2 linked regions of the Elephas maximus indicus genome follow. The protein of the gene in region 1 purifies or fractionates together with the protein of each later gene. This does not show direct contact. Links are inferred from orthologs where the notes say so. Each region holds a gene or a part of one and is shown in the gene's direction. Other genes may lie near its edges.

Evidence for each region.
Region 2: the proteins of TCEAL1 (region 1) and KDM3A purify together in Homo sapiens (affinity purification with mass spectrometry; 3 studies listed by BioGRID and IntAct, counting the BioPlex papers as one, with this or other methods). This does not show direct contact. The link is inferred for Elephas maximus indicus from reciprocal best matches to the Homo sapiens genes TCEAL1 and KDM3A.

Annotation. Positions count from the first base shown.
Region 1 is NC_064846.1:54,547,612-54,563,520, reverse strand, and holds TCEAL1 (transcription elongation factor A protein-like 1), read left to right. Parts: upstream 1-9,999; coding exon 10,000-10,524; 3' UTR 10,525-12,236; downstream 12,237-15,909.
Region 2 is NC_064835.1:48,085,813-48,102,232, reverse strand, and holds the start of KDM3A (lysine-specific demethylase 3A), read left to right. Parts: upstream 1-9,486; 5' UTR 9,487-9,588; exon of another isoform or gene 9,589-10,206; 5' UTR 10,207-10,236; coding exon 10,237-10,422; intron 10,423-16,420. UniProt on the Homo sapiens protein: Histone demethylase that specifically demethylates 'Lys-9' of histone H3, thereby playing a central role in histone code.

The DNA of each region.
Region 1 (15,909 bases):
GGTTATGATAAATCCAAATCACCCAGAGTTGTTTGAAAGTAGAATTACCTTCTGTGAGTACCCAGAGATTCAAGAAGTAGAATTACCTCCATACAGAATTCAAAACATTGAGAAAAGGGAAAACACATCCAGGCCAAATTAAGAATGAAAGTAATTTAACAATAAATGAAACTAAGCCAATAACAAAACTTGCTCAGACCTGAGACACAGCAAAGGCAGAGTCTCGAGGATCTGAGAGGTACTCACCCAGGCAGCCCTAAAAGGTCCATGTAAAAAGGAGAGTCCGATCAACTCAGCTGGATCCAGAGCCTGATTTCTTGACTCTCTGGGGGCTGCTGGAGGAAGTCGCCTTGGATCCTGCTTCTGACACCAAATGTTGTACAGAATGAAATACAGGTCCGTTTAAAAGTAAAGACAAAGAGTTTTATTATGGCAAAAGGGTGTTTTGCAAACTGGGAAAACAGAGTCAAAAAACTCTTGACAAAGTGCTCCTGGGGAGCTCTTCATTTATAGAGACTTACAAAGACAAGTAGAAGGGTACAGCTAAAATGTTTATGATTGGATGACATTTACAGAATTTAGACAGGGGTTAGGACAAGGTTATGGAAAAGTACAGGGTTTTGTAAGGACTCAGGCACAGGTTAGAAAAACATTTTGTAAGGGAGAGCAAGGTAGGCATTTTCTGAGAATTGGCTTAACCACTACAGTCACGTTTAACACCTGTACAAGCTCCTCTTAACATCAGTCATCTCTAATTATAACAAAATCACATTTTTTTTGTAAAGCTTACTTGCTTCTAGGTAGGTAAGAGGCTGCATTATATGACAGAAGCTGTCTTTAAAAACATAAAATGGGGTCACTTATTACAAGAAGGGATTTGGCCTAGACCCTAGCCAGATGTCCTGGTCACGTCAACAGCTTTAGCTTTTGGAATGCACTTCCTCGAATCCAATTAAAAAATGGGCAAAGGATATGAATAGACATTTTCCATACATGATATACAAATGAAAGATGCTTGAAAACATTAGTCATCAGGGAAACGCAAATCAAAACTGCAATGATAAGCTAAAAGTGGTATATCCGTACAATGGAGTATCATTTCGCTGTAAAAGGGCATGAAGAACTGATAGATGCTACAACATGGATGAACCTTGAAAACATCATACTAAGTGAAAGAAGCCAGTAGAAAAGACATATGATTCCATTTATATGAAATAGTTAGAATAGGCAAATTCATAGAGACAAAAAGTAGATTAGTGGTTGCCTATTTTTTTTTTTTTTTTATGGTTGAGCAGGATGGCAGGATAGGGTAGGAGACAGCTAAAGCATATGGTATTTCTTTCTCAGGTGATGAAAATGTTCTAAAATTGACTGTGGTGATAGTTGCAGATATCTGTGAATATACTAAACAACATTGAATTGAACACATTAAATGGGTGAATTGTATGATATTTAATTGCTTTTTTTTGTTTGTTTTAGAATGAAAGAGGGACCATCATTATAGATCCTCCAGACATTTAAAGGATAGTAGAGGAAAATTATAAACACTTCATGCCAATAAACTCAATAATGTGAATAAAATGGTCAAATTTCTTTTTTATTTTTATAATTTTTATTCTGCTTTAAGTGAAAGTTTACAAATCAAGTCAGTCTCTCACACAAAAACCTATATACGCCTTGTTACACACTCCCAATTACTCTCCCCCTAATAAGACAGCCTATTCTCTCCCTCCACTCTCTCTTTTCGTGTCCATTTCGCCAGCTTCTGACCCCCCCACCCTCTCATCTCCCCTCCAGGCAGGAGATGCCAACATAGTCTCAAGTGTCCACCTGATCCAAGAAGCTCACTCCTCACCAGCATCCCTCTCCAACCCATTGTCCAGTGCAATCCATGTCTGAAGAGTTGGCTTTGGGAATGGTTCCCGTCCTGGGCCAACAGAAGGTCTGGGGTACTTCTAGTCTCAGTCAGACCATTAAGTCTGGTCTTTTTATGAGAATTTGGGGTCTGCATCCCACTGCTCTCCTGCTCCCTCAGCGGTTCTCTGTTGTGTTCCCTGTCAGGGCAGTCATCAGTTGTGGCTAGGCACCATTTAGTTCTGCTGGTCTCAGGATGATGTAGTCTCTGGTTCATGTGTCAAATTTCTTTAAAGACACAAATTATCAAGTTCACTCAAAAAGAAATAGAAAACCTGAATAGAAGAGTGGTGTTTAACCACCAGGTCTCTGGAAGAAAATAAAAAAATCTTGATATGTGCATTTTTCATTTTCTGTGGTATAAATACTCCAACATGGTCAATTTCAAGCTACCAATATGACATCATTGAACATGGATTTGGGAATCTGCTCTCATTAGCCTGTATAAGCTGGTTCCAGCACACGTATATTAAAGAAAATTAATTTGCGATTAAAAACTTTCCAAGAAACTCCAGGCCAAGATGTGTTCCCTCGTGAATTCTATCACACATTTAAGGATGAAATAATATAAGGACGATCATCTAAGATACAACTATTGCTCTCTACTAATCTGGAGCAAAAAGAGAAAGAAGGAAACCAAAGACTCAAAGAAGAAACTAGCCTATAGGACAAACAGTCTACACAAACCAGAGCATCATTTACCCTGAGACCATAATTAGATTGTGCACTGCTCCCACTACCAACAGTTCTAATCAGGGGCACAATAGATGGACCCTGCTAGGATGGGATAAAAATGTGGAACAGAATCTCAAATTCCTTAAAAAAAAAAACAAACCTACTGAAATGGTTGAAATTGGACTTCCCGAGACCGAGGCTATTGCCCTGAAATACCATTCAAATCTTGAACCAAAACTGGCTAAAAAAGAAATGAGTATCACCTGTAAGTACTGTGATCCTTTACAAAATCACCTATATGAGACCAAATGGTCAACAATTACTTTAAAACAAAAACGATAATGTAAAGGAGCAGGGAAACTAGATTAATGGAAATGGAACAACCAGAACAGAAATAATGAGAATGTTCACGCATTGTGAAGAACGTAAACAATGTCACTGAGCAACTTGCGTAGAAATTGTTGAATGAGAATCTAAACTGCTGTGTAGACTTTCACCAAAAACACAATAAAATATTATCTTAAAAATATAAATAATAATAATATACAGATGAAATAATACCAATTTTACACAAACTTTTTCAGAAAGTAGAGGAAGAGGCCTCCTCTATATATAATGAGGTCAGAATTACGTTGATAACAAAACAAAAAACATTACAAGAAAACTCCACACCAACTGAACTCATGAACACAGATGCAAAAATTCTCAACAAAATTAGGAAATTAAATCCAGCAATATGTAATAAGTATAATAAATACACTATGACCAAGTGAGGCTTATCCCAGGAATGCAAAGTTGATCAAACATTCAAAAATGAATATAATTCAACATATTAACAGAATAAAGGAAGAAAAATATGACCATCTCAATAGATGCAGAAAAGGCATTGGACAAAAGTCAACACCCACTTATGATAAAAAAAAAAACTCTCAGCAAACTAGGAATAGAAAGGAGATTACTCAACCTGAAAAAAAAGCATCTATGATAAAACTATAGCTGATATACTTAATAGTGAGAGACTAAAGCTTTCCTCCTATCATCAGAAACAACACAAGGATGGATGCTCTCACCACTGCTACTCAACAATGTACTGGAAATCCTAGTTAGTGCAGTAAGGCAAAAAAATAAAATAAAAGTTACACAGATGGGAAAGGACGAAGTGTAACTCTTTATTTGCAGGAAAATCATGAGCCTGTATGCTCTAAGAATCTACAAAGTTATTAGAACTAATATGTGAATTTAGTATGGTCTCAGGACAGTAGTTCAATATACAAAAGTGAATTATATTTAATACACTAGAAATAAACAACTAGAAAATGAATGTTCAAAATACTATTAGCAATGATATCAAAAAGCATGAAATACTCAGGGATAAACTTTATGAAGTATCTGAATAATTGTGCACTGAAAACTACAATACATTGCAAAGAGTAATGAAGGAAAAAAGACCTAAATAAATGGGAAGTATACTATGTTCATTTATCAGAAGAGTCATATTGTCAACTCTCTCCCAGATTGATCTATGTATTCAATGTAATTTCAATTAAGATCCCAGGAAGACTTTTGGTGGAAATTGACAGGCTAAACTCTAAAATTCATAAAGAACAATCTTGAGAAAGAACACTGGAGGACTGACGATACCTGACTTTGAGACTTCCTATAACCAAAAACAACAACAAACACTGCAACCCCATATATGTCACAGAGTAGAACTGCTGCTGCATAGGGTTTTCTTGGTTATAATCTTTACGGAAGCAGACCGCCAGGCCTTTCTTCAGCAGTGCTGCCAGATGGGTTTGAACTGCCAACCTTTTGGTTAGTAGCCGAGAGCAAACCATTTTCACCACCCAGGGACCTCATACCAAACCAGTTGCCATCTAGTTGATTCCGACTCATGGCAACCCCCTATGTATTAGAATAGAACTGTGCTCCACAGAGTTTTCGATGGCTGAATTTTTGGAAGTAGATCACCAGGTCTTTCTTCCAAGGCATCTCTGGGAGGACTCAAGGTGCTAGCTTTTCAGTTAGTAGCTGAGCGCTTAACTGTTTGTGCCACCCAGGGACTCCTGAGCCTTCCTACAATGCTGCAGTAATCAAGACATTGGCAAGAGGAGATAACACACAATGTGTGTCTGCTGTTTCTGTTGGCCCATTTGCGCATAGCATTTCCAATGCCTCGTGAGCACAGAACTCCACTGGCCCGTATGATGTGTGGCAGTTCAGCAAGACTCAAAGAAGGGTCAGCATGTTACTTCTACGACTGTGCAATGGGCAAGGAATGGGCACTGAAAGCCCAGAAAAGCCACCCTTGGTTCAAATCCAAAGTTACTTCCAACACAGAATCAATTTCTAATAAACACACATGACTACGAAACCCTATAGTATACCTTCTTACATGTGTTACTTCCCTGTATTTCCCAACCACTTCTGCTGAAAATAGTGACACAGACGGAAAAGGGATAGAGTAACCCATAGTTCTGCAATTTAAACCGGATTCAACTGTGTGATATGGCATCCACAAAATCTACTATACTCTTAGGATGCAGCAATAAATCTACAGTGTCTATTCTAGACTGAAAGGGCTAATAGTGCTCTACACTAGGCAAAATATTGTATTCTCAAAGCCATTTATAAATTCAGGAACATGCAAGGTGGTGAGTAACCTGGAAAAAATGTTACCAAGTCAGAAACAGCTAAAATAACTGGGAAGGTTAAACCTCAAAAAAATAAGTCTTGGTGAGAATATAACTGTTTAAGGATTATATGAGATAGTATACTGAAAGTGCTTAGCAAAATGCCTGGCATAAGTGCTCAATTAATGTGAGTAATAAAAGAGTGATGATTAGTAGTACTATTAGTTCTGTGTCATATTGTTATTATTATAGTTAATGCTAATAGAGTGTTTTCTACGTGCTGGGCACTGTTCCAGGTCCTTTACTATATGTCGTATTGTCTCATTTACTCCTCGGACCAATCCTATGAGGCAGGTACTATTATTGTCTTCGATTTTGTAGATGAGAAAACTGAGTCACAAAAAATAGATTTCCTAATATGTCTCACAGATGGAAAGGGTCAGAACCAGGACATAAACCCTGGCAGTTTCATATTATCAAGGATAAAAGGTACTTTTGTCATTTTAAACTTGTTCTTTACCATTCTAGAGGGCAGACTGGGACCAATGTATATAATCTACTTTGAGGCAGATTTCAGCTCAACGGAAGGGGAAAAATAAACAATAACTTTGATTAGAATTGCCTGAAATTTCAATGGGATGTTTTATAAGGTAGGTAGTTTTCCATCATAGGATGTAAGGAAAAAAAAGGATGGAAATGAATAAGTGAATAAAATGGGACTCCTCTTGGGAAGAAACCATAAAAGTGAGACTCCAACCCTTGCTGAAAGAATAAAGAAGGCATAGTGAAACTTGGATTTAAAGGCACACATCGCTGTAAAATTTAAGAAAGTTATGGAAAAGATATAAAGGTGTACTAATATCGGTCTAGCTGCCATCGCAATACAAAGTAAGATGTCAAAGAAATGCAACAAACGTTATTATAATGGGAAATTTCACATAAGAATTTGTTTGGAAACTTCCTGGACAATCTGGGTTTGAAAAATATAAAACCACCCCAGGATCCTCACAGAGAGGGGAAGAGAGGTAGTTTGCTCTCTGGAGGAAAAGACATCTGCATGAGAAAGTAGTACCCAGGCTGTTGTAAGTACTAGATGAGATGCAGACATGAGATCAAAGATCATAAAACACTATTAGATTAAAAAGTATATACTTGCAATGGCAGTTGCGTATGTTAGCATGATATTAATCCTGCTACTCAGTATGTTAGATCAAGAGGCAGTTGTTTGGACAGAACAAGGGGATACTGATTGGTTTCAAGTCAGGAAAGGTACACGTCAGGGTTGTATTCTTTCACCATACCTATTTAATCTATATGCTGAACAAAAAATACAAGAAGCTGGACTATATGAAAAACTGGGCATCAGGATTGGAAGAAGACTCATTAACAACCTGCCTTATGGAGATGACACAACCTTGCTTGCTGAAAGTGAAAAGGACTTGAAGCACTTACTAATGAAGATCAAAGACCACAGCCTTCAGTATGGATTACACCTCAACATAAAGAAAACGAAAATCCTCACAACTGGACCAATGAGCAACATCATGATCAACGGAGAAAAGATTGAAGTTGTCAAGGATTTCATTTTACTTGGATCCACAATCAACACCCATGGAAGCAGCAGTCAAGAAATCAAAAGACACATTGCACTGGGCAAATCTGCTGCAAAGGACCTCTTCAAAGTGTTGAAGAGCAAAGATGTCACCCTGAAGACTAAGGTGCTCCTGACCCAAGCCATGGTATTTTCAATCACATCATATGCATGTGAAACTGGACAATGAATAAGGAAGACAGAAGAAGAGTTGACGCCTTTGAACTGTGGTGTTGGCGAAGAATATTGAATATACCATGGACTGCCAAAAGAACGAACAAATCCGTCTTGGAAGAAATGTGGCCAGAATGCTCCTTAGAGGTAAGGATGGCGAGACTGCGTCTTACATACTTTGGACATGTTGTCAGGAGGGATGAGTCCCTGGAGAAGGACATCATGCTTGGCACAGTACAGGGTCAGCGGAAAAAAGGAAGACCCTCAACGAGGTGGACTCACACAGTGGCTGCAACAATGGGCTCAAGCATAACAATGATTGTAAGGATGGTGCGGGACTGGGCAGTGTTTCGTGAATCGACTCGACAGCACCAAACAACAACAACACTCAGTGTGTAGCATCCCTGGGTGGTGCAAACGGTTTACATGCTTGGCTACTAATCCAAAGGTTGGTAGTTTGAGTTCACCCAAAGGTGGCTCAGAAGAAAGGGCTGGAGATCTACTTTTAAAATATCAACCACTGAAAACCCTATGGAATACAGCTCCACTCTGACACACACAGGGCCACCATGAGTGGGAATCAACTCGACAGCAGCTGGTACTCAGTGTGTGGTCAACAGATTCATTATACAGTTTAATACTGAATGTCTTCTGGGCTGCATTTATATTTTGGGGTCCTAGGACTGCTGAACCCAACAGATATTTGCTGATTTAATTAATTAATATAATCTTTCTCAACCAGCAGTACCAAGAGTTGGCTGGTTAAGAATTGAGAGTCCCAGCAAAATTTGCCTTCAGTTATGAACAATAAAACTACTTCATAAGTTTTTTTTTTATAATAATGCTATGCTATCCACGAAGACTTCTCCCATTTCAGATTAATAAATGGGTTTTCTGGACTAGTACTTAGATGGACAAAAGTACATCTTGACTTATGAAAATTATTCAGTCTTTATAGACTTACATACTTTACAAACTTAATTCTTTCTAGGGTCTTTTTTTATCAGAGTATATTTTTAAACATAAAAAATTTAATTTGCTTCTTTATCTAAAATAAACTGGAGCTTCTATTTGTGATATAGGTCTGGGGGCTCAAAAAACCAAAATATAGATGTCAAGGAAATGTGAAAGATTGTTCCCATGAAAGTGGCAAGAAGATGTGAAAACATTTTGATAGCGCCTACATGGATGAGGCAGGCAGCCTCAGAGACCAGCCCTTCTCTGCTCTGGCTTATTCCCCTACACCAAGCAGAATATACTTTCTTCTGAAATTGTCCTTGACAAGGTAACTACAGGAAGGGCCATAGATGGCCTCGACCCACTTCTGGGTGGAGACTTAACATCCTAATGAAGGAAAATCAACCTCTCCTTCCATTCCAGGGGATCAAACCCTTGTCTAAAGAACATGCATAGTCATCTTCAAACTCTGAGCGCCTGTGTGAAGGTGGATCCTGGATATTCATGATGAATTTGCATTTCCTTGTCTGCTCTCTATAAAAGCCCACTTCCCCAAGCTGCCTGTGAACAGTCTTGGAAGCAGCAGCCCTGATTGCTCCTTTCTTTGTCCAATGAAATAAAGGTGTCTTTCTCCTCTCCCACCTCGGCCTCTTGTTTTATTGGCTGTAACAAATCACACTAAGCAGAGCCTGGGTTTTTCACCTGGCAACACAGATAAGATGTGGTTACGGATGTGGATGAAAACTGAGAAATGGGATATGATGATTAATGAAGGTGCAGCATCTAGACTGCAGGGGAAATAATTGGGCCTTGGCGGCTGAGAAAGGGAAGGTGGGGAAGAGAGGTATTATCAGAGAAAGTAGCAGACAGGAAGAGACAACAACCCCTAGGACTAGATGCTGATTGTCTCTGGTAACCAGGAAAACGCAAACATAAAGAGAGGGGTGAGTAACAACGCTTGGTGTGTTGCGGACCAGGGGTTATTGGCTGGCTGCTGCAGCATGGGCGCCAGTCAAAGTGGAAACTGGGGATCTGAGCTCGGCGGTGACGTGCGGTCCTCGCGTGACCGGGAACCTATGTCGGCCCAAGTCCCTCTTGTCCTGGTCCTTTATGCCTATCCGGACACCAATCTCCGGATTGCCTTTTGGTCCCGGGGGAAAGCAGAAGGAAGTAAGTTCCCTCGACCCCCTTAAATCAGCGTGAGTGTCGGTGCTGCCTAGTAACCCCTAGGATCCGGATGGTAGAGATTCCCGGCCTTTTCCCTAAGCCTCAGTCCCGCCCCCTCGCGCCCACATTTCGGTGCAGAAAATGGTCTCGCGGCAGAACGGGGAAGTGAGTAAGGCCCCGTGAAGGAGACACACTTGGAAATAGTTCCTAAGTATTTCTCTGCTCCCACTTTCCGCCTGGGGTGGGGGATAAAGAGTGAGAGCGTCGAGCGGCGGGGAGAGCAGCGGCACCGAGGCCACGGCTTGATCCGGGGATTGTGTGAGGGGAGGAGTCCCAGAAGGGGGGGACGCTGGCGTGGGGGGCGGAGTCGGCCCAGAAGAGGGGCGTGTCTGCTAGGTCGTCCCGCCTCCCCGCCCCCGCCCTTACCCCGTCTCGCGTCTTGGTCCGCAGGTCACAGCGGGGCGCCTCAAAGAGAAGACGACGAGGAGCAAGCCGCCAGGAGAGGTCCAGGTGGGAAAAGGGTGGGCAGCGGACTGGGCGGGGAGTACCAGAGATGGCGCTGAACCAAACGCCGTCTGCCGGCCCCGCCGCCCCGCCCCTATCACTGCGGCTGGCCGCGGCCTGTGGCAAAGCCTGCTGGGAAAATGGTGGGATTTCGGGAAGGAAGGAAGGAAGGGGCGACCCTGAGGGAAGGGAAGAGACGCGGCGGGCTCAGGAGAGCCCGGGAGGCTCTCGGTAAGCGTAGGTTTGGGGCCTGGGCCCCGAATCCCGAAAAGGCAGCTACTGGAACCCATTGCAGGGTTGTTGGCCCATCCACCAAATATTCCGACTCTACTTTCCCTTTCTTGTCTTCTCAGAATAACTGTTTAAAGAATTAGCATTCTCAACATGGAAAAGCCATGCAAAGAAAATGAAGAAGAGCCACATAGCGCGCCAAAGACCACTGAAGAACCGCCTCCGGTGGAGCACCCTCCCGAAAAGCACTCTCCCGGGGAGGAAGAGGAGGAGGAGGAGGAGGAGGATCTGTCTTCAGAAGAGCAGTCCTCGGAGGAGGAGGAGGAGGAGGACGAGGAAGAGTTCTTTCCCGAGGAACTCCTTCCCGAGCTCCTTCCTGAGGTGCTCCTTTCGGAGGAGCGCCCCCAGGAGCGACTTTCCAGGAAGTACCTTTTTGAGGAGCGTCCTCCCATGGAGCAGCCTCCTTGTGGAGTAGGAAAACATAAACTAGAGGAAGGAAGTTTTAAGGAGAGGCTGGCTCGTTCTCGCCCACAGTTTAGAGGGGAGATACATGGCAAGAATTTAAGCAATGAGGAGATGATAAAGGTAGCAGAGGAGATGGAAGAGATGAAAAGAGTAAGAAACAAACTACTGATAATGCACTGGAAGGCAAAACGGAACCGCCCTTATCCTATTTAATGGGTTCTGCCTTGAGTTCTGTTTTGCCTGGTAGTAGTACTGCCACCTGAACTTTGCATTTCCGTATATACCTTTTGCTGTGTTCTTAACTTTTTGTGTGGCTTTATTTTCCTTTTGTGACTGGCATAAAAGTGTTTTCTTCCCCTATAATCTGCCAGTCTCCCTCAGTCATGAATTTCATCTGTTAGCATGAAGATGTATATTATGTATTGTGAAGTGAAAAAACAGCTTTCAAAAAGTATATATAGTATTCCACTTAAAAATATATGTATATTTATATAGTAATATGCAAAGAAAACAAAGTATATGCATCAGAAGCTTAACAGTGGCTGATAAAATAATAGGTGATTTTTGTTTTAATTTTTGCTTTATCTGAATTTCTCATTTTTAAAACTATTTATTTTGTTTGTTTTTTCAAGATGAACACACTTGTGTTGCAAAAAAAAATTAATATAATGAAAAAAATGTGAAGCAGTTTTCAAAAACCTGTCAGCTTATGAAGACAATATGGCACTTAATAAATACTTGTGAAAACATAACAAAAGAAAAGTAAATCCCATGTTTCTTCTGACTCTCTTAGGTAAAAATACAAACCACATACCTATTACATTTGTATAAGGGTCAGTCTTTTCCCAGTTGAATTAGGAATAAAACCTGCCTTGCAGAGCTTCTGTGGAACCACATGAGGTAAAGATCATGTGAGCTATGTTTGTCTCTTTTCCCCACCTGCATACTCCGGACCCCCAGATGCTATAAATTCCCTTCATACATGGGGTGGTGCCTGAGGGGAGCCTCACCTGTGCTCACAGACAAGTCCTGTGAGATTCCAGGTGAGTGTCACATTCTATTCCTTTCCTGTTCTTCCTTTGAGTACTGCTGTGTCTGCAAGGCATAGCAGCCTCTTCTGCTGGGTCTTGCTCCTTCCACTGGGCCCCATCACTGCTGCTGTGCTGGAGCCCTCAAGGTGCAAAGCCTCACTGATTGTACTGGAGTGTCTTGTGATAGAACTGTGTAGCCTACAGAGGCACAGAGAATGTGCCCCTTCCAGCTTTAATATTACGCTTACTCAGGTGGTTACCATTCTAGTGCTGTTTAGACATCAGTGTCCTTTTTAAAGAAGTCTTAGCAAAATTATCTTGTCCATTTTTTTCCCCCTTCTTACAGCCTCCTTTTTCTCTATCGGACTCAAACATGAGTCCAGCGGGACCTGGGCTGGGAGACAGATTTGTGTACAAGACACCATGCAGTGTACTCAAAATTTGAACCTCCCTCCCAGGTAATTTCCAAGAATAAAAAAAGCCAAACCAAACCCGTTGCTGTCGAGTCAATTCTGACTCATAGTGACCCTATAGGACAGAGTAAAACTGCCCCGTACAATTTCCAAGGAGCATCTGGTGGATTCAAACGGCCAGCCTTTTGGTTAGCAGCCTTAACTCTTAACCACTATGCCACTGGTTTTAATTGCCTAACTTGCCTTAGGGTGAGCTCTCTCCCAGGGGCTTCTAACAGGCATGCCTTATGAATTCTGCTGGCATGTTCAATGTGTATAAGTTAAAGAGGAGACTAAAACTTAGGACATTCCAGTTCCACCCCACCCCGTATTAACCGGAAACATGCCAGTGTACTTTGTAAAACATTGAAGTATTATATATGTATCAGATTATTTCCCCATTAAACTATCCGTGTAAAACCGAAGACTTTTATTGATCCTGGTCATTCTAGAAACACAGATGGTGTGTTAATATTTTTTTCAAATTATGACGCAGTCAGGCACCTTGATTTCTTGAATCATCTCTGTCCTTGATTGACTGTGTAAGCTTCGGTAAGTGTGTTTGTTCCCTAGAACATATAATTTGCAGTTCCAAAAGGAACACAGTGGGGGAGGAATTGTTTCTCCATGTTCAACATTAAAATTAACATACCAGTGTTTCTATTATAAAAACTGCAGAATTCTGAATTCTACTCTAAAAACTGCAGAATCCTAGGCTGTACCCTAGGCCTGCTAAATCTGCTTTTCTGTAAATTAGCACACCAAAGGTGGAGGGCCACTGACCTATATACTCCTGATTTTCCTAAGGATATACTATGAAATAAATAGAAGAAAAAAATAGAAGTCTGTATCAGAATTAAGAGTGAAAGTCCTGTCCAAGCATATTTTTAAGTAACAGCCTCACAAATTGTACTACATGAAATTTAAAAGATTTCCTGCAGTAAAGCAAGATTGCACAAAAAGCTAAGGGAGACAATATAATAGCAAGATGTATTTTCTATGCCTAAACATCATATATGCCTTGCATTGCTTCCTTCCAGTATGAGTAAAATTTATCAGAAAGGAACTCAAAGTTCTCCTTCTGCCATCAGCTCACAAAAAAATAAGCTCTGTACCCTTGGCTTTGTTTTCTGTTTTTATTGTTTTCACTCTGTGATACGTCTCTTCATGTTTCCAGACCATTATTCAAGGTTGTGGCAGCCCGATGAATGCTCTTGGGGCTGGAATTCCTGCTAGAGTGAGCTAAGGCTTACTGTGACCTTTTACAAAATAGGATAAATCCATCCCCCGGGTGTTCAGAGTGTCCCTATGAGTCGGAGTGGTCTCAACGGCAATGGGTTTGGTTTTTTAGTGGGTGTTCAGAAAAGCCCTGGTGGCACAGTGGTTAAGAGATTGGCTGCTAACCAAAAGGTTGGCAGTTCAGATCCACCAGCTGCTCCTTGGAAACCCTATGGTGCAGTTCACTCCATCCTATAGGGTTGCTCTGAGTCGGAATAGACTTGATGGTAGTGGGTTTTTTTTTTTTTTTTTTGGTTTGTTTTGGTGTGTGGGCCGGGGCTGGGGGCTTAAGCAGGATGTGGACAAGCTCCCTCAAGCCACATGGCTTTCCAGGGGTGGGTCTGACCTTGGTGTTTCTGCTCCAGCCTGCAGCAGGCACCAAGCCCACCTAGGCCAGGCTGCCCTGGGCAGACATACCTGGAGAAGGACTGTCCCTGCTGCAGGTAGGAGCCTTTCCCTCCTCCCTTTCTCTTTCGGGGAACTTTTTGTAGGGGAGAAGATGAAGCTCCAAAGCTTCCTAACTGGAAGCACTGGTTGTGATAGTCCTTACCAAGCAGTTGTCTGAACTGGGTCTGACCGGTAACTTGGGGTTGGAACAAAAGGGACTGCCCCTTCTCTCAGAGTCCGGTGAAGTCCCTCACTACCTCTCTGCTCAGTCTGGTATCGTTATCACATGTCCAAGCAGCAAACTTGGCTGTCCAGCTCCAGAGCAGAAAGCATTGAGGGTCTAGGGCCCTGGAGAGAGAGCCCTCTGTTAACCAGCATCCCCAGGCTCTTAGGAGACAGTGCTTAAGAGGGGGAGCCCTTCTAGAGAGGCAGTGTGGAAGGGATCAGGCTCAGGGGCCTTGTAAAACATCTAGCGACTCTCCCCTCCCCTATTCAAAAATACTAACCTAAACTAACTCAATTATTTTTACAAATGAGGAGTAAAACTAAACAGATAAAAAGAAGCAGATCCTATGTTCTAACTCAGAATTACCAGTATCAAACCCTATGTTCTCCCCCACTCTACCACGCTGCCTCTAATTTAGATGGTAGCTTTCCTGGGCTTAGGAATAATTGGTTTAGACTTGAGTATGGTATCTTGTTGATTTGTGCACTTAGGAGTTCTCACATTATTATTCTTGCTCCAGGTCGGAGTGCCAATTAGGCAGTTGGATGTAAGTGTCCAGTTAAGGAAAGAGATTGGGATGGAAAAATGGATTATGGCCGATGGCATCTGGCACATAGTAGACACCCTGTGAATATTTGTGAATTAAATGAATGAATGTAGAATCCAACTGTTTATCCTTCTATTCTTTTCTACGCTTATGTATTTTTCAAACAGAATTGGGATTCCTTTTTTTAATATTTTTTGTGCTTTAAGTGAAAGTTTACAAATGAAGTCAGTCTCTCACACAAAACTCCTGTACACCTTGCTATATACTCCTAGTTGCTCCCCCACCCAATGAGGCAGCACACTCCTTCTCTCCACCCTGTATTTCTGTGTCTACAGAATAGGGATTCTAATGAACTCACTGCCTCATAATCTGTGTATAAAAATGAACTTTGTTTTTCATTTCCTCTTTACCAAGACAATACCGGATTATGAAGCAGTGAGTTCATTAGATCTGCCTCTTGATGGCAACTGACCTTTTGGTTAGCGGCCAAGCACTTAACCACTGTGCCACTAGGGCTTGTTTTCTGAGTACAGGATGTTATTTTTTTTGTGCTTTAAGTGAAAATTTACAAATGAAGTCAGTCTCTCATACAAAAATTTATATACACCTTGCTATATACTTCTAGTTGCTCCCCTCCAATGAGAGAGCACACTCCTTCTCTCCTTCTCTCCAGTAGTTGGAACCCACCAGCCACTCTGGGGAAGAAGGATGTGGCAGTCTGCTTCCATAAAAATTACAGCCTTGGAAGCTCTATGAGGCAGTTCTACTCTGCCCTATAGGGTTGCTATGAGTCGAAATCCACTCGACGGAAAAGGGTTTGGTTTATTGGGAAAACCATTTGCAATCAAGTCAATTCACACTCATGGCGACCCTCTCTGTGTCAGAGTAGAACTATGCTCCATAGGGTTTTCGGTGGCTGATTTTTTGGAAGTAGATTGCCAGGCCTTTCTTCCAAGGTGCCTCTGGGTGAATTAAAACCTCTAACCTTTCAGTTAGCAGCCATGCACATGAACGGTCCTCGCCACTCAGGGACTCCTCCTATATTGTGAAGGAGGTGAGAAAAAGACATTGCCATATGTTGCTGGTGGCAGTAAAAAGTTTATACGATCTTTTTTTAGGACAATTTGTATATAAATATTTATCGGGGCAATGCCAGAAATCCCCCATTCGTCTGTCCGTTTGTCATACTCTGGTGGCTATGTGTTGCTCTGATGCTGAAAGCTATGCCACCAGTATTTCATATACCAGCAGGATCACCCATAGTGGACAGGTTTCAGCAGAGCTTCGAGACTAAGACTAGGCAGAAGGACCTGGTGGTCTGCTTCTGAAAAACTTAGCCAGTGAAAACCTTATGAATAGCAGTGGTACAAATTGTCTGATCAGTGACTGCAACAACAGGCTCAAAATAGCAACGATTGTGAGGATGGCACAGGACCAGGCACAGTTACGTTCTATTGTATTTAGGGTTACTAAGAGTCGGAACCAATTTGACGGCACCTGATAACAACAACAATTATAATGCTAGAAATAGTGGGAGTTTGGAAATAATCTAAATGTTCATCATTAAAGGCTGTTTAAACAAATTATGATAATCTCTATCAGTGGTTCTCAAACGGGATGGAACTGCTCCCTAGGGGGTGTTTGGAAATGTGTTGAGGTATATGATGGCTAAGGTTG
Region 2 (16,420 bases), on another chromosome or scaffold:
TTTGGTTTTTGGTTTAGCATATATAAAAGTAAAATGCATGAAGATCAAATAGCATAAAGTACCAAAAATGGTGAAGTATGAAACTCTAAAACAGTAATGATTAAGCTAGCAAAAAATGTCAGGATTCACTTTTACAGAACTCTGGAATGGACTAACAATTTACAACAACCAGGAAATTACAAAATGAAGAAGCTGCTAAATTATAGCAAGAGTGTTGTGACATTTTAACTTTTCACTTGTCTCCAGGTATTTTCTAAGTATTTAATAATTTCCTTTGTAGTTTCTTCTTTTAATTGTTGGTTAAAAATATGTTTAATTTCCACATATTTGTGAATTTTCCTCTTTTCATTCTGTTGTTAATTTCAACTATTCTATTTGGTCAGGGAAGAGGCCTTGTCTGATTTCAATCTTAAAACTTATTGAGACTTGTTTTGTGACCTCATATAGGGTCTATCATGGAGAATGTTCCATGTGCATTTCAGAAGACTGCTGTCATCAGGTGGAGTCTTTTGTACATGTTGGTTAGGCTCAGTTTGTTTATAGTGTTGCTCAAGTCCTCTATTTCGTTTTGATCTTCTGTCTAGATGTTCTATCCATTACTGAAAGTGTGGTATTGAAGTCTCCAAGTATTACTGTGAAATAGGCTATTTATTCTTGCAATTATGTCAATGTTTGGGGGTCTGCTGTTAGGCGGATATACATTTGTAATTGTTATATATTCTTCATAGGTTGATCCTTTTACCGATATATAATGTCCTTCTTTGTCTGTTGTACCAATTTTTGACTTAAACAGTATTTTGTATGATATTAGTATAGTCATCTCTCTTTTGGTTACTATTTGCATGGAATATATTTTTTCATATTTTCACTTTCAACCTGTTTATGTCTTTGTATCTGAAGTGAATTTCTTGTTGATGGCATATAGTTGGATCATTTTAAAATCCATTTTGTCAATCTCTGCCTTTTGATTAGAGTTTAATCTACTTATTTTTAGAGTAATTACTGATAAGGACTTACTTATGCCATTTATTTTCTGAGTGTATTATACCTTTTTTTGTTCCTCATTTCCTCTATTACTCCTTCTTTTGTGTTTAGTTGGTTTTTTATAGTAAATTATTTTGATCTCCTTGTCATTTCCCTTTTTTTTTATTGTGATAAGTACATACGTAACAAAGCATTTGCAATTTCAACATTCTTCACAGGTACAATTCAGTCACATTAGTTAGTCATTATGTTGTTCAACCACATCTTAGGCTGGGTTTTCTAGAGAAGCAAAACCACTGAGAGAGAGAGAGAGTGATTTATAGCAAGGAAATGGCTCACATGGTTATAGGGGCTGGAAAGTCCCAAGTCCGTGGGTCAGGCTGGAGGCTTCTCCTGACTCACGTAGCTGCAGGGCTGGTGAATCCAAGATCAGCAGGTGAGACAGCAGGCCTCTGGCTCACAGGCTGCAGAGGTCAATGAATTCCAAGATCAGCAGGTAAGTTGTTAGCTCAGGTTCCAAGAACTGGAGGTCAGATGAGGATCCAGAGCAAGCAGAACCCAGCGAGCTTTGCCAGAAAGTCCACATATATTAGATTAAGGCCGCACCCCCAAGGAAAATCCCTTTTGACTGATTGAGTGCTCATAGATGATCTCATTATGGAGGTGACTACATTATATCAGATCTCATTATGGAAGTGATTATACCATTACATAGCTGCCTAATTACATCATAATTGCCAAACCACTGAGAATCATACCCCTGCCAAGTGGGCACACAGCCTTAATTATCACAAACCATCATCACTATTTGTTTCCATTTTTCATCACCCTTAATATTTTTTTTTAAACAGGAACTCCCCTAAGCAATGAGTCTCCCCTTTTCCTTCCGTCCTGCCAACCCATGCTAATTTTGATCTCTATACACTTGCCTATTCTAGATATTTCATATAAGTGAGATCACATAATATTTGCCTTTTTTGACTGACTTATTTCATTCAGCATAACATTTTCAAGGTTCATCCCACATGCATCAGGTCTTCATTTATCTTTATGGCTTAGCAATATTCCATTGTATGTAAGCACCACATTTTAATTATCCATTCATCTGTTGATGGAATCAATATCCACTTAACTTAGTTATCTAGTGCTACTATAACAGAAATACCACAAGTGGATGGCTTTAACATAGAAAAATTTATTCTCTCACAGTCTAGGAGGCTAGAAATCTGAATTCAGGGTGCCAGCTCCAGGAGACTTTTTCTCTCTGTCAGCTCTGGAGAAAGGTCTTTGTCATCAATCTTCCCCTGGTCTAGGAGTTTCTCAGCACAGGGACCCCAGGTCCAAAGGATGCATGCTCCTGGCTCTTCTTGTTTGGTGGTAATGAAGTCCCCATCTCTCTGCTTGCTCCTCTCTTTTATATATCAAAGAGATTGACTCAAGATACAACCTAATCTTGTAGACTGTGTCCTGCCTCATTAACATAACTGCCTCCAATCCCGCCTCATTAACATCGTAAGGGTAGGATTTACAACACACACAGGAAAATCACATCAGATGGTGGACAATTGCACAATATTGGGAATCGTTGCCCAGCTAAGTTGACACATTTTGGGGGGACACAATTCAATCCATAGCAGACATTTAGATTCTTTCCATCTCTTCCCTGTTGGAAGTAGTGCTGCAATGAACACTGGTGTACAAGTATCTAGTTGTATTTGTTTCCAGTTCTTCTGGGTATATATCTAGGAGTTGGAATTGCTGGATCACATGGTAATTCTATGTTTAACTTTTTGAGGAACCGTAAAACTGTTTTCTACATTTTACAATCTCACCATTTTACAGTCTCACCAGCAATGGATAAGAATTACATTTTCTCCACATCATCGCCAACACTTGTTGGTCTCCATTTTTTAAATCATAGGCATCTTAGTGGTTTTTTATTTGCATTGCCCTATATGAGTTTTTTTTTTTTTTTATATGAGTTGGAACTGACTCAACGGCACTGTTTTTTTTTTAATGACTGATGATGTTGAGCATCTTTTCATGACCTGCTTCTTGTTTCCTTTTGTGTGTATGTATTTTATCTTTTTTTCTTTGTAGTTACCATGGGGATTACATTTAACACCCTAAATTTATACCATTCTAGTTTGAATCAATAGCCATTTAAATAACATAAAATATTCTGCTCCTAAATAGAACTATCTTCTCCTTTACGCTGTTGTTGTTCTAAATTACACCTTTATATCTTCTGTCCCCAACAACATAGGTTAATAATTATTTTTTGTACTGTCTTTTAAATCATGTAAGGCATAAGAAGTGAAGTTACAAACCAAAAATACAATAATATTGGTTTTATATTTTTCCATGTAGTTACCTTTACCGAAGATCTTCATTTCTTCATATGGCTTCAATTTACCATCTAGTGTTCATCACTTCAATCCAAAGGACTCCCTTTAGGATTTCTTGTGGTGCCTATATAGTGGTAACAAACCCCTTCAGCTTTTGTTTATCTGGAAATGTCTTAATCTCTCCCTCATTTTTAAATATCACTTTACCAGATACAGAATTCTTGGCTGACAGTTTTTCCCTTTCAGCACTTTAAATACATCATCCCACTGCCTTCTGGCCTCCATGGTTTTTGATGAGAAATTGACTGTTACTCTTATTGAGGATCACTTCTTTGTGACAACTGGCTTCTCTCCTGATGCTTTCAAGATTCTCTTCATCTCTGGCCTTCAACAATTTGATATTAATATGTCTTAGCATGGATCTCTTTAAGTTTATCCTTTTTGGAATTCATTCAAATTATTGGATATGCAGATTCATGTCTTTCATCAAATGCGGGTAGTCTTCGCCATTATTTCTTCAAATATTTTTTCTACTTCTTGTATCTCTCACCTCTCCTTCTGTAACTCACATAATGCTTACATTGTTATGCTTGATGGTATTCCCCATATCATTTAGGATCTGCTCACTTTTTTTTTTTCTTTCTGCTTTTCAGACTGGATAATTTAAAACTTCCTACTCACTGATTTTTGTTTTCTTCTGCCTACTCAAATCTGCTGTTGAACCTTTCTAGTAAAGTTTTCATTTCAGTTATTGTCCTTTTCAGCTCTAGAATTTCTATTTAGTTCTTTTTTTATAATTTCAATCTCTTTATTTACAGTCTCAGTTGGCTTATACATCATTTTCCTGATTTTCTTCAGTTCTTTGTCTATGTTTGCCTTTAGCTCTTTGAACATATTTCAGGTAGTTGTTTTAAAGTCTTTGTCTAATAAGTTCAGTGTCTGTGCTTCATTAGAGATAGTTTCTGACACTTTATTTTGGCCCTTTGAATAGCCTATTCTTTCCTATTTCTTTGCATGTGTTGTGAATTTTTGGTTGAAAACGAGACACTTGACTATTAAAATCTGGTAACTATGGGAATCAGGTTTTCCCTTCCCCAGGGTTTTTTTTTTTTTTTAATCTGTAGGAGTCTATCAGTTTAGTGACTTTTTAAAACATCATATTACAGAAACTAGGAAATATGGTTAGTGAAAGCATGTATTATAGCCACTGGAAATGCTGTGTTAATCATACGGTAACTTTTCATATATGTGTGGGTTTATGTATTAACTATTTCCATATTTCTGACAATATTTCATTCATTGAAATTACAGCTTAACTTGAAAAGAGTTAACATCTTTATCAAGTTCTTCTATATATGGAGATGGCATTTTTTCAAATCTTTTATGCAAGTCAGTAAAGGTTTATCTTTTTTTAATATACAGGTTTTTGTCATTTCTTGTATTTATTATTAGGCAGTCTAGTTTTTATTATCATAAATGATTTCCTTTTTTTCTATTATACATTCTAATTGATGTTTGCTAAAGAATAGGAATTCTTTTGAGTTTTGTTGATCTTATATTGTGGAACCTTTTTGCCCATTGTGTTAGTTCTAACAATTTTTTTGGTTAATGTTCCTGAATTATCTACAAATTGTGTGTGTGTGTGTTTTCTTTCCAATGTTTATATTTTATTATTTTTCATATTCTATTGTATTAGCAAACTTCATTACAATTTGAATAATAGTGATAATAATAATAGTGGACATCCTTATCTTATTCCTAACATTTGTGGAAATTCTTCTAAAATTTTACAATTAAGTATGATGTTTAAGTATATTTCCGGTACATCTTGTTTCCCAAGTTATGGAAGTTTTCTTCTATTCATAGTTTGCTAAGCGTTTTTATAATGAATGGGAATGAAGATTTATAAAATGCTTTCTCTGACTCTATTGAGATAATCATGTGTATTTTCTCCTTAATCTGTTTGTGTTACTGTTGGCTGCCATCGAGTCAGCAACTTATGGCAGCTCATGGGGTCCTCACTCATGGCAACCCCATGCACAACAGGAAGAGACCATTGTGATCCATAAGGTTTTCACTGGCTGCTTTTCAGAAATAGATAGATCTCCAGTCCTTCCTTCCTAGACTGTATAACTAGAAGTTCTGCTGAAACCTGTTCAGCATCACAGCAACACACAAGCCTCCACTGACAGATGAGTAGTGGCTGTGCTTGAGGTGTACTGGCCAGGAATCAAACCTGGGTCTCCCACATGGAAGGTGAGAATTTTATCACTGAACCATCACTGCCCTTGATCTGTTATAGAACTAGAGCACACTAATAGGATTTTAAAATTAACTCTAAATTTCAAAAATAACACAAGAATTCATCCATCTTATAAAAATAAGAGAATTACAAATAAAGCTAAATCACTTTTGACTAATACCCCCAATTCTAGTGTACACTCCTTAATACCACTAACCACCATTATGAGTTTTAAAACATACATTATTTATATATATATAATATATAAAGTAAATTTGTATTATTTATAATTAAAAACCCGTGACTGTTGAGTCAATTCCAACTCAAAGCGACCCTATAGGACAGGGCAGAACTGCCTCATAGGGTTTCCAAGGAGTGGCTGGTGGATTGAAACCATTGACATTTTGATTAGCAGCCAAGCTCTTAACCACTGTGCAACCAGGGCTCTGTTATATGTAAGTAGAAAAAAAAAAAATTTTTTTATATATTAAATAAATAAATGTCATATACTTACTATATAAAATATATGGTACTGGGGTGTGTGTGTGTGCTTAAATACAGGTAGTCCTCAACCTGTGATGTATTTGAGTTATGACGAATTGCACTTACAACCATTAGTTTTGTACATCTTATCGTTAGTAATATGTACTACATAGAATGTTGTAGTGTGTAATTTGCTTATGTTATCATTCTCATGCCAACCCCCAAAGACAAATAAAGATTAGATTTATAAAGATACTGATAATAAAAGGCAATAATAATGAAAACTAAAAAAATAAAATAATGAGGCATTCACCTTACATCAGAACTGACTTAACAATGAAATTGTCGGAACAGAACCCCATTGTAAGTCAGGAACTACTTACAGTACCAAATGCAACTCTCTTTTTCATTCAAAATATGTTTGGTGATCTGTCTTTACTGGTACATCTATATATCTCTCATTCCTTTTTAAGTGCTCTATAGCATTCCATTACAGGTATCAGATTCCTTTTATTCACTTTATTTATTTGTTCCCCAGTTGAAGTACTTAGAGTTCCAAATTTTCACAACCACAAACAATGCTGAAATGAACAACCTTCTAGATTCTCCTAGTTCATATGTGTGAATGTTTTTTAGGAGGAAAAACAAGTTTTCATAGAGCTGATTCCAACTCACAGCACTCTGTGTGTTAGAATAGAACCGCGCTCCATAGGATTTTAATGGCTTATTTTTCAGAAGTAGATCACCAGACCTCTCTTCTGAACGACCTCTGGGTGGACTTGAATCTCCAACCTTCCTTTTAGCAGCTGAGTGCATTAATTATTTGCACCACCCAGGAGAGACTCTTTCCTAGCATTTTCTAGGACAGATATGTTCCTTGGTTTCTAGGAAGTTTACAAATATTTTAAAAACTATGAATGGGTTTTGAATGTAAGCATGTGCTCTTAATATTTCTAGTTTTCTAGGGAGTTTAGAAGTACTTTTAAAATAATGAATAGGTGCTGAATGTGAGTGCATGCTCTCTTAGCCTGTACTGAAATGAACATATAATTTTTCTCTTAAAATGTTAAGTAGTGAATTATAGTAACTTTCTAATCTTGAACTATCCTTGTATTTATAGGATAACCCCAATTAATCATAACGATTATTTTGAAATATACTGCTGGATTTAATTTGTTGATACATTTTATACAAGATTTTCCATCTATGTTCATAAGTATAATTAAACTATAGCTTTCCTTTCTTGTATTCTGCTGGTTCAGATGTGGTAAAATAGTTTTTCTAGTTTTATAAAATGCATCGGGTATCTATCCATCTCTTCTAAATTATGGAACCATGAATAGCATAAGAATTGTATGTTCCTTGACATGTAGTAGAACTCGTCCCTTAGCAGTTGCTTTTCAAATTAATAATTAATTATGTAACCTAAGTCCTCCATACTCACTTATTTTTTAAATCTAAGTGGTACCTGTTTCTTGGACAGATGGATTTAAATCTTCTACACCCTGATTACAAATTTGTCAAATTTTTTTCTCATAGTTCTGACAGTTTAGTCTTAGGTTAAGCTATGTTCCATCATACTAGTACAGGAGTTTATATTATCTTTGTGGACTTCAACTTTTATTAATATAAAACCCTTCCATCTTTTTAAAAGTTTTTTCTTTCAATTGTAGTAATATTACTATATTACTTTTCTTTGATTACCATTTGATTAAACCCATTGCCGGTGAATTGATTCTGACTCATGGCCACCCTATAGGACGGTGTAGAACTGCCCCATAGTGTTTCCAGGGAGTGCCTGGTGGACTCCAACTGCCCACCTTCTGGTTAGCAGCTGAACTCTTAACCACTATGCCACCAGGGTTACATGTGATTAGTAAAACTTTTATTCCAATTTTTTCAAGCTTCCTGTGGTGTTGTAGGAGTGTTGCTTGTGCTTGATTTATAGGTGTCTTTTGTTTTTAATCTGAAATATGTCTTTTAAATTTATGAGGAAAATTAACCCATTTATATTTATTGTAAATACTGATGTTTGGACTTCTCTCATTTTACTTTTTTCTATTTACCATACTTCCTTCCAGCTTCTTTTTCTTTCCTTGCTTTGGTTTCTGCCTTTTGCTGTGTTGGATTGGATAGATTTTCTCTGTTCCATGTTCTCCCTGTCTAATGGTTTGCAAATTATAAATTCAATTTAATTCTTCTAATGTGTATTCTTAACTTTAGGAACTTATTTAATGTTATATTTTCAAAACATTTATATTTCAAATCAACACCTGTAGTTAACTTGTAACCATAAATCTCTGGAATAAGTTTCTGAACTTTTTCTGATTCTGTTTCCACACTTCTAAAACTTGGAACATGAACACTTCCCTACTTATCTTGAGGATTAAATGTGATTCCACGTCAATTATCAGCTCAATACCTGTATAAAGAGGTCTTCAATGCCTTCATTCCATTTCTTCTTCATTATTCAGGGAAGAAATTTCCAGCCCAGAGCACACAATGACCTCTTCTCCTTCGTCCTTCAAAGTCACCTCCTTTTCACCTTTAATATCTCTTGCATCATTATTGCCCTCATCTGGTTTTTCAATTCCTTTGAAGTCTCAAAATATCTTCTCATCCTGTCTCCACATAAAAAATAAAAATAAAAAACCATTCTACACTGTATTGACTGGCTTCTTTTCCTCAAGATTTAATGAACATCAGTACCCAATGACTCTAAGCCTTTCTTCATTTTTCTTCCAAAATGGCGGACTTTAGACTTCCATGATCAGCACCACGTGCGTGCGCCTGCGCCTCCCGCGGCCATTTCACCCAGCAACCGTAGCTCCAGCTTCTGCTCTGCTCCTACAACACGCGAAGCGCCTGCGCACAAGCCCCCAGAGCACTGTCGCTCCTCCCTCTAGCTGAGTACGCCTGAAACCGCACGTTCCCCTCTTTCCCTCCCCCTCTGTCGCTGCACCGCCCTCGCCCCTTTCCTATGAGATTCTTCCGCCAAGTGGAAGGCCTATCTCCCTTCGACAGCCTACGCACTTGAAGAGCAATCCAATAGGCACATACAGCCCTAGGTTTCGCCATTCAGTTTTATCTGTGCGCCGTGGCATTTTTCCTTCGGAACCCAGAGTTGATAACCGATTTCACGGGACTTTTTGCACATCGTGAGGCAACGAATGTAAAGAATGAGCCCGTGGCGGAGGGATCTCTCGCTTACTCTCTGTGTACTTTAATTTAACGGGGGTCGCTCAGGAGTCGGAAGAGGGAGGAGGGGGAAAGGGCGGGGACAGCCAGGGAATTGTTTTTTTCTCTAGCCCCGCCCTCATGTAGCCAACCAATAGTGATGGGTTATCTCTCCACGAACCTCGCCCAACTCCTTTGACTCAGCCAATGAGTGGTGGAAGCGGCTCCGAGGGGGCGGGCCTGGGAGGTTGTGCGTGTCTTGTGAGAGCTGTTGAACCAAGTCAGAGCTAGAGTCGCTTGGCGGCTGGAAGCTGCGGCGGCGGCCACCAGTGACTCAGGGAGCCGGGAGGCGGGGTAAGAGTGCCGCGGCCTCAGCTGGGCGAGGAGGAAGAAAGGTGAAGGTGGCGGAATCGCTGGCCCCGCCGCCCCAGCGCCACGGCAGAGTCGGGGCCATCGGCGTCAGGGGATCGGCAGCCGGGATGCGAGGGGCAGGGGTGGGGGGCGGGGAGGGCCATCAGGGCAAGTGTCGAGCCGCCGACTAGGTCCCCCCTTTCCGCAGGGCCTCCCGGGGCGGGGACCTCCCCGGGCAGGGACCTGGGAGCCAGCGACAGGCCCTCTACACTGGGGGTCTGGGGGGGTGCTTGTTCTTTTCCTGGGTGAGGGGCGAACACTCTAAAATTTACTTACGCCGCAAATAATTGTCCCCTTACTCCCTCTGCGTTTAGGTAGAAGGTTTCAGAAACGGGAAACTTAAGAGAGCGCGGGTCACGCGGTGCCCCGCCGTGTTTGCGGTGGGGGAGGAAGCCGGGGTGGGGGGGGGATGGCACGGGCGGAGGGCTTGGTGCGGGGTCGCACCCGGCTGCCGCCTGTGCTTGCCCCCCAGAGCAGACTTAGGACCCCCTCCTCCCACGTACCCCGCCCTCTTTCTGGCCCCCTCCCACCGGCTGCCCCCACCTCATTTTGTTTTTGCAGGGAGGAGCCCTTCCTGCAGGCGTGGAAACCATGGTGCTCACGCTCGGAGAAAGTTGGCCAGTATTGGTGGGGAAGCGATTCCTCAGTCTGTCTGCAGCCGACGGCAGCGACGGCAGCCACGACAGCTGGGACGTGGAGCGCGTTGCCGAGTGGCCCTGGCTTTCTGGGACCATTCGAGCTGTCTCCCACATGGACGTTACTAAGAAGGATCTGAAGGTAAACAGGCTCCCCGGCCTAGGCAGTCGGACGTTTGGTAGTTACCTTGGTAACCGACAATCAGCCCTCCTTGCCCCACACACACCCTTTTTTGAAAACGGTGACTAGAAAGTTGGCATTGATCTGAGGGTGCAGAATACTAGACCTTGAAAGTCTTTGAAATGGTTGTGTAAAGCCGAGATGTGTTTGGCCTAGAGTTCCTTGCTGCTGTGTTAAATAATGGGTTTGGGGCTGCTCAGACACGCTTTGTTATTGCCCGCGCAATGCCTCGCTAGGGCTGTCTGATTGTTTTTCCGAAGCAGAAGCACTGTTGGTAGTATTAAGTTGGGCCAGGGGATGACGTTTGCAATCACATTGAGGGCTAATGTCTTGAAAGTGCTTTCCATAGGTTTTTTTATTTGTTCCTTTTAATTTATTTTATCAACTTTTTAAACCTTCAGACTTGTTAGAAGTGAAGGGTTAAGTGTAGAGGGAGGAGCTTAGTTTTGTTTGGCGTATTAAGGTGGGTGTCCGTTTGCGGTGGGTCAGGGCTCCAGTGGGTTCCTGGTTGCCCGTGATGAGCCGGTAGGTGGGTGTGGGATATAACCATATATGGAAAGGTGGGGTGGAGCTGCCCCATATATGGTGTGTTGGAGGAATGTCTTTGAAATATTGCACTTGGGTGTTTCGGGGAGGGAAGGAAATGGGAACAAGTGCAGCAAGTGATTTTTAATCGGAATGACACTCAGAACCTTTTTCAGTTTTTCAAAGAAGGACGAATCCTGGAGGTTCTCCCTAATAGTAGTATTGGTATGAAAAGATTGCCTGGGAACAACCAGTAAGGAAGCCATTTGTACCAACAAAGACTCCTTTGTGCAAAAATAACCAGATAAAAGTCCCTAACAAAGAGACTTAAGTGGTGATAGTTTGAAGTCAGCTTGTCAGAACAGAAGACGTTTGCACCCTGGGTAATGGATGTGTTGTTTTCAGTATTTTCACTTGGTCCTCATCTTTGCTTTTTCTTGGAAACTATGCTCAAATAAAGGAATCAAGTTTTAGTATTAGCAGTTTGAATATGTGTTGATTTCTGAAACACTGTTCGTTTTAACACTTTTAGGTGACAGTGCATACCCAGACCAGTATTAGTCAGTAAGGTCTTGTGGAGATAGGGATGTGTGGTGTTGAGCCTACACAGTGTGTCTTGTCTTCATATTTAGATGGAGTTGTGACAATTGAGCATTTAACCATCATCCTGAGCACTTCACAGCCATGACCTTTTTTAATCCTTATAGCAGTTCTTCAAGAGTATTGGCTCCATTTTACAGATGAAAATACTGAGACTGGGGAGATTAAGTATCTTGCCCAAGGTCACATTTTTAGGAATAAGTGTAGCCCAACCCCCAGTAAGGCTTGACTCCAGAAGCCGCCCTCTTAACCATTATTCTTCATGACCAAGGAATGTGCCATAAAAGGATTCCAGAAATACACTGTGAGGTTTGGTTTTTCTCCTTTTTACCTACCACTTGTTCTTGTAGCAAATCATGCTTTGATGTTTATAGAGGGAATGTGGTATGGTGTAGGGATGACCAACCTATTTGCTTTAGGCTAGTATCCTTTCTACAAAAAATGGGCTTTGTGTACTAGATTTCACTCATAGTTGTCATGGTTTATTTTACCTGCCAAGTGAAATTTTCTCTAGTGCATTTCTTTTTATCTGATTTGAATGGAAACAAGGTTTGATTTGAACTTTCCAGTCTTTGGTTCTTTGGCAGATGAAGAGAGAGACTAGGGGTTCCCTTCCCTGGCGATGATTGAGGACCTGTTGAGTTAGGCAGGAGGTCCCTTGTATGTATTCTTTTAAATTGTCATGTTCTTCCCCTCCCCCCCAACCTTTGAGTTGGTGGTGGTATTTCCAGAACGAGGAAATAAATTTAGAAAAAGGAGTCTTGTTCAGAGTTGTGTAATTAGCTGCGGAGTGGTGGAGGTGGGGATTTGAATCCAGGTTTGGTTGTGTGTCTTTTCAGCTGCACCCAACTCCCTAACTTGGAGATAATGGGGATTTCAATTCAAGAGCGTTTGACTCTATTTGATTTTTTCCTTACCTGCAGACTTCACAACTCAGCCCCCATGGAAGGTGCAGGTCTGTTGATTTCTTTTATCTAATCATGACTTACTGCTGCATTCCTCAGTTGAGTAAGAGATGAAGTAGCTGACTTAAGTTTAAGGCCCATGTTGTATTAACAAGGAAATAAGATTTAAAGCACTGTAATCTAATTGTGCTTGGTGAGATGCATGCAAGAACTAAGTAACAACAGAACTTCAAACAGGTTTGCTCTGGCTCAATCCCCTGCTGAGAATTTGCATTTCTAACAAGTTCCCAGGCTATGTTAATGCTGCTGGTTAGGGACCAGCTCTGAGAACCACCAGTAGAGCAATGGTTCTCAAGATTTATTATATGTGAGAATCACCTGAGGATCTTGTTAAAATGGAGATTCTGATTCAGTGTATGTGGGGTGGAAATGCAAATTCTCAGCAAGGGTTCAAACCAAAAAGAACCTGTTTGAAGCCCTAGTAACTGAAATCATGCTTACACCTGAGTTTTTGGGCATTGAGTTTTTTTGGGAGGTAAGATTGGGTGCTGAGTTGAATATGAATAAATAAAATTTGGGTAGTATGTTCCTGTTCTTCTAATACTAGTTCAACTTTGTACCAGCTTGCTTAGTCATTGTTAGCTGCAGTCAGAGTTGGCCCGACTTACGGCAGCCCCATGCACAATGGAATCAGACTTTGTAATCCATTGGGTTTTCATTGGTTGGTTTTTGGGAAGTAGACTGCCAGGCCTTTCGTCCTAGGCTGTTTTAGTCTGGACGCTCCACTGAAACCTGCTCAGCATCATAGCAATGTGCAGGCGTCCACTGACAGACAGGTGGTGGCTGTACATGAGGTGCATTGGCCAGGAATCGAACCTGGATCTGCCTCATGGAAGGCAAGAATTCTACTGCTGAAGCAGCACTGCCTTCTCTTGCTCAGTTAGTTGAAGATGATATTAATGAGGCCAAAGCTTGTTAAGTCTGTTTTACCTAAAGAGAGACTTTGTAACAAAGTTACTTCCTTAGATAATAAAAAGACAATGTGTCTAGTAGTTAATTACAAAGAGGTTAAAGTGAAGGTGTTGTAACACTAGATAACGATGATTAAGTGCTTTTTATGTGGCAAGTACATCATTTAATCCTCACAGATATTCTAGATAGCAGCCTACGTTTTTTAATACCAGAAATTTAGGTTTAAGTAAGTTAAGTAATTTCTTTAAAGTATACTTCCATACTTTTTTACACACTAGGCTTTAATATTCAGGTAGAATGAGGTTGTTTTTGAAGTTGTTAGCTGCTGTCAGGGTGGCTCCTGTGGAACAAAACACTGTCCAGTCCTGCACCATCCCCATGATCAGTGGCAGGGCCTGACCTGTTGTGACCCATAGCACTTCCATTGGCAGATTTTTGGAAGTAGATCACGAGGCCTTTCTTTCTAGTCTGTCTTAGCTGGAAGCTCTGCTGAAACCTGTTCAGCATCACGGCAACGTGCAAGCCTCCACTGATAGATGGGTGGTGACTGCGCTTGAGGTACATTGGCCAGAAATGAACCCTGGTCTCCCGCATGGAGGGCAAGAATTCTACCACTGAACCACCAGGACATTGTTTTGCTGGTCTCTGTACCCCAGCACCTAGAACGGTGCTTGGCCTACAGCTTATGCTCAAATATTTGAACAACGCAAGGAAGGAATCATAAAATTATTACCTCTACATGGAAAAGCAGTTTAGAAAGAATTTACTGATGGGGCAATGGCATTCTTTTCATCTGGAAGGACACAGAGCTTAGTTAGGTGTGGTCATATGGACCTCTTTAACCTTATTTTTATCTTAGTGTTTCTACGTGACTCTGTGGGGCAAGCTGTTTCTTAACTGGCTTTGTTCACATAATTAATGCATGCTGGGAATACCTTCCTTCCCCCTTGTATATCTGTGTTTTCCCTTCCTTTGAACCTGCCTTATTTCTTTGAGTCTTCTACCACATCTTTGTCCTCAAGGATGTCTTTAGCAAATAAATAGAGCCATTTTGTACAATTGGGTGCATCAACCAATGCCTAGCCTTTCATCATTGTGTACAATTGGAACTTGAACATTGGTGAATTCTCTTGCCAGTCAGGCAGTGTAAAATAAGAAACTCTTAGCACAGTGTATTAAAAACTGTTTACCATTTATAATTGAATGCCAGACTCTGGGATTTTAGGCAAGTATTTTACTTAGGTGTATGAAGACATAAATAGAAGCATAAGGGATTCATTTCTTTATTTGTGGAGTATTAAATGGTATCCAGCATCTACTGCTGAGCATAGAGTAGATAGGTAACTCAAAACTTCTTGACCAAAATCCATGCCATTTTGTAAGTGCCTTCTTTTGAACTCGGAAACATTCTACTTGTTTCTTTCTGATGGTTTTCATAATTCTGTACATATGTGAGATTAGTGTATGCAAAAAGTGGGAGTTTTGGGGCCTAGATATAATATTAATTCATATTTATCCTAAGGAGATTTTCTGTTGGGAAAAAAATTAGCTGGAAATAATTTGATATATCCAACATCTGCTCAAGATATTTGATCGGCTAATGAGGTATACATTTACAAAATGCCCTTCCAAAAGAGTGGCAAATTTGGAAATTCTAGGCAGCAAATTAGAGTTAATTGTTCTCTTTTGGGCATTTGGAGTCAGAAAGCATAAACAGCATCATCTCCTTAGTGGGCTGAGGGAGCGTGGCGGAAAGAGCCCAATTTGAAATGGGAGCTTGTTACATCTATCACGTTGTATGATCTTGGTCAAGTCATTTAGTCCTCCTGAAATTGAATTCATACCTGTATGTCTTTTTATAGAAATATCTGCAGAAGAGGCTTTTCAGACACAGGGTTGTATGTCTTAACATATAGAACCTCAGACCTTAAGGCACAAATGAAAGACACATATGGGTCTTGACAGGAAACTTCTGAAAGAATGTTGAAGAAAGCTCCTGATCTGTTGGTATCATTTATATAAAAAATTAAAAAAAAAAAATTTTTTTTTCCAAGCTAAAGTTAACGTAAATAAGTTAGTGTAAGTTTCCACAGTGTAGTGGTTATCACTTTCGTCTAACACGCAAGAGGCCCCTGGTTTGAGGAAACGAACTGGTCATTCTTTGGAAACCCTGGTGGCATAGTAGTTAAGTGCCACGGCAGCTAACTAAAAGGTCGGCAGTTCGAATCCACCGGGCACTCCTTGGAAACTGTGGGGCAGCTCATCTCTGTCTTATAGGGTCGCTATAAGTCTGACTCAATGGCAACAGGTATTTTTTTTTTTTTAAGTTAATGTGAATCCTTGACCAATGCAACCTAATACCCCCAAGTCATAAACTTAAATTATTTTTAAGGTACTAAACTTTTTTCCACATCACTCGAAAATTGGGATAGGAAGAGAGACCCTATCTGAATTTTGATTTAGGGTTAATCTTAATCTTTCAGTAGTGATAAGAATTGTGATGTTGTTTAAGTTTGGGGACACCGCTTAAGATCTTAATCCTTTACTTTTTTTAGCTGAATATTAGATAATGAAAATCCTCTCCTCCCCCACTCCTAATTTAAGAAGTGATACCCCAGTAAGATTTGAATTACCATGGAGGTCTTCAGACTTCTTAGTCTCCCTGCCAGATATTTTATGTATATTGTCTTTCTTTAATCCACCTAAGAATTCAATGAGGTGTAGGTATTATTACTTTCATTCTGGAGCCATCAAAACAAGATTTAGAGAGCTTAGACTCAAGCATGGGTTGTCAACCTGGGACCCATAGACCCCTCTATCTCAATGTAACTTGATTGTTTTGTAATCTGTGTATTTTATTTTATGCAAGGAAAATAATTCTAAGAAAACTTGAACATAGCTATGACTCAGACTCAGATCTCTTAGAATCTGAAGTACATGCATGCTTATTCCCCTTA